Linked DNA regions of Oryzias latipes. The protein of the gene in region 1 purifies or fractionates together with the protein of each later gene. This does not show direct contact. Links are inferred from orthologs where the notes say so. Each region holds a gene or a part of one and is shown in the gene's direction. Other genes may lie near its edges.

What was found.
Region 2: the proteins of snu13 (region 1) and fbl purify together in Homo sapiens (affinity purification with mass spectrometry; 5 studies listed by BioGRID and IntAct, with this or other methods). This does not show direct contact. The link is inferred for Oryzias latipes from reciprocal best matches to the Homo sapiens genes SNU13 and FBL.

The regions. Positions count from the first base shown.
Region 1 is NC_019877.2:3,754,628-3,758,769, reverse strand, and holds snu13 (NHP2-like protein 1), read left to right. Parts: upstream 1-1,551; 5' UTR 1,552-1,749; coding exon 1,750-1,752; intron 1,753-1,899; coding exon 1,900-2,020; intron 2,021-3,117; coding exon 3,118-3,380; 3' UTR 3,381-3,537; downstream 3,538-4,142.
Region 2 is NC_019874.2:7,461,981-7,466,336, forward strand, and holds the end of fbl (rRNA 2'-O-methyltransferase fibrillarin), read left to right. Parts: intron 1-669; coding exon 670-764; intron 765-1,008; coding exon 1,009-1,179; intron 1,180-1,350; coding exon 1,351-1,483; intron 1,484-1,569; coding exon 1,570-1,682; intron 1,683-1,809; coding exon 1,810-1,955; intron 1,956-3,326; coding exon 3,327-3,351; 3' UTR 3,352-3,833; downstream 3,834-4,356.

The DNA.
Region 1 (4,142 bases):
CAGGCTTTTCCCGTGGCATTCTAGGAGCTCTTAATTATTATTGCTGTTGTTGTTTTTCTCACTTCGTTCTTGTCTCTTTACAGTGGTAAGACTTGAGAGTAATACAAAAAAAAGCAAAACTAGTTCAGCAGTTTGAAAATGAGGTCAAAAGGGATATTTTGGGACCGGACCGTAGCAGCTCACAAAAAGTTGACCGCACGGACCGCCATCTTAGCTCCTCTAGCAATTTGGAGTTGGGTCTCCTAATTTAACAGCTGCAGGATTTAAGTTTTTAGGTTAGAGACGATAGTAAAAGCGGTCATGCTGGAGATACTAATTTAAAAACTAAGAACAGAGAATGACATTCAAATTTACTAATTTACGGGACATTTTGCTCGTGTAAATAGGTTTATTTTCTTAACAAAAATATCTAATTTTGCGATAATTGAACAATTTCACAATTTCATCACGAAACACATCACACAACAATGAAAGGATGTTTCCATTCAGGAGAAGAAGTATTTAAAATTCAAATTCAACTTTATTTATGGAGCATTTTTCTTGTTACAAACACTTCAGAGTGATTTACATTAAATAAATAAATTGTAAACAAGAATAATAGCCCACACACATATTCAAACATGTAAAAACTACTTAAGAGCAAAGTGGAAAAGATGAGTTTTGAGGGTTTTTTCCTAAAAAAAAAAAACTCCACTGTCTGCTTGTGGTTAAGATGTGTGCCGTTTAAAATCAATTGTATTTTTTCTTAGCACCAGAAAGAAGAGCGTTATAATAATAATGATGCTGGTATATGAAAAGTGCTTTAGTATTAAAGTTTTACTCTGTTATTTGAAAAATAAAATAAAAAGAAGTAACTTATTTTTTTCAGAGCAAACACAACATTATCTGGATTCTACATAAATTGTGCTCTCAATTTTTAATTTATTTAACATAGGGATATCATCTGCAAGCCGAGGTGGCTCTTATAATCTTTCATTGTGGCTCTTTGGTTTTGAAGAAAAAATGCTAATGATAATACTAACATAAATAATGGATTTGTGGTTTTGGTTCATTTCTTTTAGTTGACAGTTGTGTTTTATAATTTTTTAAATTTAGAAAACTGAGCAAAATGATGCACATAAAGCAACAGTCCTTATTTCTGTTGATCAACAATGACTAGATGCTATTCAGAAGCAAAATTAAAGTATAGAATTGCAAACAGATGTTCAGGTTAAAAAAAAGTGGATTTTGCCCCAATGTTGTCATGTTTATATTCAATAGTAAAATGAGAAAACGAATTATGGGTGCATCTGTCTAGCAGTTTTAACTCTATTTGTAAACTCGGAATCTGTTTATCTGCTACAACCGATCTGTGTAGGGGGTATTTTATTTTGAAAGGAACTGCAGCTGCTGTCACAAGTAAAATAAGTTGAAATTCTTGTAAACTAGAAAACTATCACTTTCATTTAACTCATCATCATATTTTAATTATTGTAAATATTTAAAAGCTAAAACTGGTTAAATAACAGTTCAATGGTTAAAAGTATGACCTCAAGAGGGCGAACCATTTTTCTTTTACTGATGTGCATATTGCGCATGTGCAGACCTACACACGTGGGGTAAACGTTTGCACGAGCTGCAGCCTTTGGAAGGTTTTGAGACGCAATTTACCACTTTTGGCGTTCGCTATACTTATTTCGATCCCGTTAAAGGAATTAGTCCTCCGTGAAGCATTTCGCCGAGAGGGCCGGAATATCAAAGAAAATCAAAATGGTGAGTGTAGTTTGTCTTGAGCTAGCAAGCTAACGAAAGCCGCTAGCTATTAGCATCTGATAACAGCACGCGGGGTGCTGTAATCTGGCTATTCTAAATTTAAAGTAATTATTGTGTTTCATTATTATTATTATTTTTTGTCAACAGTCAGAACCTGAGGTTAACCCAAAGGCTTACCCGCTGGCCGACGCCACGTTGACCAAAACTATTTTGGATTTGGTGCAGCAAGCCTCCAACTACAAGCAGCTGAGGAAGGGGGCCAACGAAGGTAAGGGAATTAAAGGAGAAATATTTAGCTGATCGGTGTAATATTCTTGGGATTTATCGCAGTCTTTATCTGTATTAACGACAAAATTCGTGAAACATCATGATGAAACGAAATAAAATAAAGCGCTTAGTAGGCTTGATTCTCTCACTTCCGGTAAAAATCACCCAATATTTAAAGCCTATGATTAATGTACCTAAACCAGAAAGAGTAGATAGCGTGAAAGAGTTGAAGAAGAATCTGGTGTTTCAGCAGACATTTTTCACCAGAGCAAAAATCCTGAGGAGGCTTCTTACCTGTGAAAGCAACTTTTATTTTGGCAGGTTGACCCTCTTCACTCTAACCTCCAATGTGTTTCTAAAAAAAACCCATAAAGTCTGCTGTAAATTCAAAACAGCCCTCTAAGCTGGAGAATGCAGGGCTGCATCTCTGCTAAAACACTGATTCTAAAGTAAAATGAGTTAAATGACATTTTTTATAGCAAATTTCCATTTCTGTTTAGCTTTAAACTCCTTTTATTCATAACTGCTGTTCACAGCTGAAAACAAGTATAAAATATTTAATAAACTATTCAATAAAAAAACTGTTTTTGCACAAATATTTTTCAATAAGTCAAATGTTTAAGTGGAAATTAATCCATAGATGAATTGTTGTCACTTTTTTCCAATTGAAACAGAATTTCATTCGTATTTCTTTAATTCTTTCTACAAAATCGATCAGTAGGAGATATTAAGGTTGCATAACTGTGTTAAACAGGACTTTCTGGTTTAAAAAAAGCTTCAAATAAATGCATTTTATTCATAAACAGTCAATTTAAAGCTGAGGTAATAAAAAAAATGAACAAGCCAAATATTTGTAGGATCTAGATGAATCCAAGCGATTCTAGATGCTGTCCAGATATTTGAAAAACGCCATTTTGTCTTCGTTTTGCTTCATAGTTAAGCATCCTGATATAAAAAAAAATGTTTGTATGTCATCTTATATTCTGACACTTTATATCATCAAACCTTCCAAGGGTTTGGAGTAATATTATTATTGTTAATATTGTTTACATTTTCCTGTGTTCTGACAGCGAGGCGACTCTGCTCTCTCCTCCACAGCGACCAAAACCCTGAACAGAGGCATCGCGGAGTTCATTGTGATGGCTGCTGACGCTGAGCCGCTGGAGATCATCCTCCACCTGCCGCTGCTCTGCGAGGACAAGAACGTCCCGTACGTGTTTGTGCGCTCCAAGCAGGCGCTGGGCCGGGCCTGCGGCGTGTCGCGTCCCGTCATCGCCACCTCCGTCACTATAAAGGAAGGATCCCAGCTCAAGCCGCAGATCCAGTCGGTCCAAATGGCAATCGAGAGACTGCTGGTGTGATCTCTGTGCTCATTTTCTGTTCTCATTTGAGTTTATTTACTTTAACAAAATACTTTTAGGTGTTTATTTTTTATTTTTTTGGTGATCATAGCAGCTTTGCTTCTATCAGTGTCCAAAACCAACATCATTTCCTAATAAACATTTTTTATTAATGTAATTCCTGTGTTTTATTTTTTTTCCCTTTAAGAAGTGTTTACTTTATGCAGAAGTAGTGGAGACCAAGGAGACTTTAAATGGAAGACAGAAAAACATCATAGAAATTAAACATTTTTTTCCAAGCATCTCATCCAGTTAGAAATGTAATTTAAAACAAGTGTCTGAAACTGAAGGACTCTAGAAGATACGTCTCTACAATGTACAAAGTTAAATGTTTACCAAATAAATGAGTATTAAAGAATTAATTCAAAGTGTAATCCAGTAGTGCTTTGCAATACATTGTTTTCATTTTAAAAACAGAATTTTGGGTCTAAACAATTTTTTTCTTACAATTTATTTAAAAAACATTTAGAACGTTTTACCTTTATCTCATTTCTGAAATTGTCAGAAATAAGGTTATTTTTTTACATAAACTTTGTTCAGTGAACAGAATTTCATCTTTCAACACAGTAAAACTAAAGATGCGATTAATAAAATTACTAAAATTAAAATAATTTTAAAATGAATACATATGCAATTTGTGGTTTTATTTTTGTAAATTCGTAAAGATTGTTTATAATAAGGCGACATCGTCCTTTTTTGTGTTAAATACATTTAAGAAACGTT
Region 2 (4,356 bases), on another chromosome or scaffold:
CAGGGGTCTGCAACCACAGGCGGCCCCTTTAACAGTCTGTGGTAGCTCTTTGGCTTTAACCTCTTCAGATCTGTGTGTGGACATCACAGTTAAATTGGGTTAGATGACCACATTTCTGCTTAAACTGAGCCCTGTAATTACTTGATTCGAGGGTTATCTCAAACATTAGCCTGGGTCTTAAGAGGTTTAAACAACGCACAACGATGTCTGGTTGTTGTTCAGAGTTTTTGAAGTCTGTATTTTGCATTTACACGAGTGGATTTAAAAAATTGTTTTCTACACCTATGTTTAGTTTTGACAGTAAAAGAAATAAACAGGATGAAAGCGCACCAAAGTCATGACAGAAAATGTCACGTTTGACCTGTTTTTTGTGTATTTTTATTGTAAGTAAATCTGCTGCATCAGAAGGATCTTATTTGACACAGCGTGCACTTTATTTTGAAAGGAACACAGATCTGCTGCTGTAAAGAGTAAAGAAGTTCCAGATGTTATCTATAGAAAAATATAAGATTTTAGAAATATTTAAAAGGTAAATCTTACAAAGGAATGGGTGTAAAAAGGTGTATTTTTCTAAAAGGTTAAGTGGGACGGCCCTTTGAGCGTTTCAGAATGAAGATGTAAGGAGGTTATGTATGTGGGTCTGACGGTCTGGGTCGTGGTTTCTTCCAGGGGTGTTTATCTGCAGAGGGAAGGAGGATGCCCTCGTCACCAAAAACATGGTGGTGGGAGAGTCTGTGTACGGGGAGAAGAGGATGAGCGTGGAGGTAAAGAGCCGCTTCTGTATTGTGAGGTTGTCCCTGTAGCTCCAGTGCTGAAGGGTTGGTTAACCCTCAGCCTCTGGTCCCTGCAACAGCAAAGTGTAAAAACTGAAACCATAACTCCTGTTTTTAAAATGTTTGGATCCTTTCCTGCTAGATGACGTAAACTCTTGGCTGGCTTCTGCAGCAGAGCTGGACTTGGTGGATTTTTCTTCTGGAAGATGATTGTGGATTTCCTGTTTTTGATCAGGAGGGTGATACTAAGATTGAGTACAGAGCCTGGAATCCTTTCCGCTCCAAACTAGCAGCTGCCATTCTTGGAGGAGTTGACCAGATTCACATCAAACCCGGAGCCAAGGTCATGTACCTTGGAGCCGCATCGGGAACCACGGTGTCCCACGTCTCTGACATCGTTGGGCCAGTAAGTACATTTCAGAAGTAATCGCATTGTTGTTGCTGTTGTGAAAATGCGTCACTGCTGTCAGTACCCATATGTGGTTTGATCAATATGCAGCTTTGACACATTTTGTCAGAATAAACCGTCTGACTCCGCCCCCTCTAGACTCATGTTGGATCTTGTTTTTGTTTTAAGGAGGGGCTGGTCTATGCAGTGGAATTCTCCCACCGATCTGGCCGCGATCTCCTCAATGTGGCTAAGAAACGCACCAACATCATCCCCATCATCGAAGACGCCCGCCATCCGCACAAGTACCGCATGCTGGTTGGTAGGTGTCAGTGCCTCAGCACAGCGGCTGTGCGGACAGAGCGCTTCTCCTCCCCGGCCTCACGTTGGCGCTGTGCTCCTCTGCAGGCATGGTGGACGTGATCTTTGCTGACGTCGCTCAGCCTGACCAGACCAGAATCGTGGCCCTTAATGCTCACAACTTCCTGAAGAATGGTGGACACTTTGTCATCTCCATTAAGGTATGACGGCTCACATTTCCGTTGGAGACGCACTACCCTGGGGATGAGGAGAGGATGTGGTGTTGAGAAGGAATCCGTGTTTTGTGTGTATCTGTTCGGTTCTGATCATAGTTCTCTCCTGATTCAGGCCAACTGCATCGACTCCACAGCAGCTCCAGAGGCTGTGTTTGCGTCAGAAGTGAAGAAGATGAGCTCAGAGAACATGAAACCGCAGGAGCAGCTCACCCTGGAGCCCTATGAGAGGGACCATGCGGTAGTGGTGGGCATCTACAGGTAAAGTATGGAACGTTTGACGGCTTGGGTCAGTGGGTACCAGCAGGTGATGGTAACACATTTCAGAGGATCAGACATGCTTACAGCCTGCGCTGCTGCACGTCCTGCTACTAAACCCAGAGAACACTGCTCCATTTTTAAACCGCTTTGATCTAAAATCAAACAGGAATTTGACATATTTTGCCATTTTGGTCTGTATTTAGAACAGCAGGGGCTTGTCAACATGCAGCCTCTGAAGCTACGTTCACACCGGGCTCAGAAACGCATGTTCAAGCAACTGCTTCCACTGAAAAGTAAATGCGCTTTTAAGGCTTCCTTGTTTTTTGGAAGTCCGTTTTTGGGCTCAGTGTACAAAATGCACGGCCACTGAACGCGCATCACTAGTTTAAACCCGTTGAACTTTGACTAATCGGGGACTCTTTGATGGCGACGTCTGGATGGCGTCCTTTTCAAAACACGGAAGTGCCAATCGTATAAAAATTGATCGTGAAGGAGAAAATAACTGTGGTTTAGTGTCCGGCCGGAATTCAATGACACAAAGTCTTTCATATATTGGAATAGAGCTGCGAAAGAAAGTCTGGAGCAAAATTTACCCGATTAGCACCGTTTCCACATTTCCCACGTAGACTTGTCCAACTGTGAGTGAATGCGCCAATAATGGGCAACACCGTCTGCTAAAAGCGTGTTCAAGAATGCCCGTTGCGTTCTTGAACACGCTTCACACGACCGGTGAGGACATAGCACAAGTCATCTCTGACCGTCAGTGATGCTGCAGAGACGAAGACGGGCGCTGGTTTCAGTATCACTGTGTTTAACCGAAGGAGCCTTTTTGCAAACGAAAAACATTCACTTTGAAGAGTGAATGTTCTTTATTTGGCATTTCGTTTAATATTTACAGTAAACTTTTATCAGTAAACAAAGGAATGTTGTGTCCGTTAACATCTAAATACAGGGAAAGAAAAGAAAAAGTAGAAGCAAAGAACTCGTGGAAGTGCAATCAGAAAAGCCTTTGACCCACATGTTCGTCTTTAAACTTCTGTTTTTTATAAACGCTGCAGCGCTTAGAGTAAAATGTCTGCAGAGATTTAACATTTGTACTCCACAAAGAGGACATGATGGTTACATCCTCTCCTCACTTCATTTACTGCATCTCATTGATGTAGAACAAAACCTGATAAAGGGGAAAACATCCTGGTATGTTCTGGCTTTCTGTGGATGATCTGGTATCTCATGAACTGTGAACTGCTGTGATTGGCTAAAGGAGATCTGATGTTTGTGTTTCATGAAAAATCCAACATCTTTAGACGTCAGATAATTGGATAATTGGGTTCAATGTCAAAGAAGTGACGTCTTTCTGTTTTCTGATTCCAGACCGCCACCAAAGCAGAAGAAATGAGGTGAACGAGAAGACCTTTGACACTGGCTGTTTTTACCTTTTTTTTCTTCCCTTCTTCTTCAGTGTTTTTTTGCTTTTGTAAAGTCCTGAGCCCCCCCCCCCCTCCTCTGACTAAAGACTGGTTGCCCTAACTTCCTCAAAGGAATAAGCAGCCCTGTTCTCTGACTAGACGAGGCTGGAAAGGTGTCATTCGTGGTTACTCGCTGCGACTTCAGCCTACTGCTGTCTAAGAAACCTGCTAACGCTTTGAGGTTCAGTTGTCACAAGCGTGGTCCGACTCACATGTTCGCTCATCCCTTCATGGATGTTTGTGGATCTCTCCATGGAAATAACCTATAACTGTTTAAGGAGCCTCTCCAGGCGTGAGAGGAAGACCACTTTCATTTGGTTATCAGTCCATCAGATTGCATGGTTGATGAGAAAATATATATTTGAACCCAGCCGTTTTTCTCCTTTTTTTTAAATAAAGAAGAAACTTCTAATTTCTCTGTTACTGTTTGAAATGAGCACATGTCAAGAACTCCGTGTCCACATGTTTACCAATGTCCCATTCAGCTCTTCCCATCTGTCCCAACGCTGTTGGAACTTCATCCAGCATCTGCTTCAGTCGCTGAGTGACGAGACACGAAGGCATCCCTATTAGTCAGAAGGAGCCCATGGTGCCAGTCTAAGCTTCTGCAACTGTTCCTTACTGATGGCCTACAGATGCTTTAGGATCCAGCTTTTGGTTCTCTCCATTGTGGGACGTCAGTGTGCACGCGGAAGCCAGCCATCCTCTGGTTCATCTGCATGCCAGCAGAGCCTGGTCTGGCCTTGGTTTGCACCAGATTCAGGTGGGCTAATGCCAAACCCAGAGAAGCGACAGTGTGGATCAAACCTGTTACTGTGGGGTTTGTTGCCGTTTCAAATTGTTCAGCTAACCTTCAAAGAACCTAGCTTGAGCCAATGTGATCCATCCCTAACCCTGGTACAGCTGGTCCAGGCTAACCTGACCTGGGCTCTAGC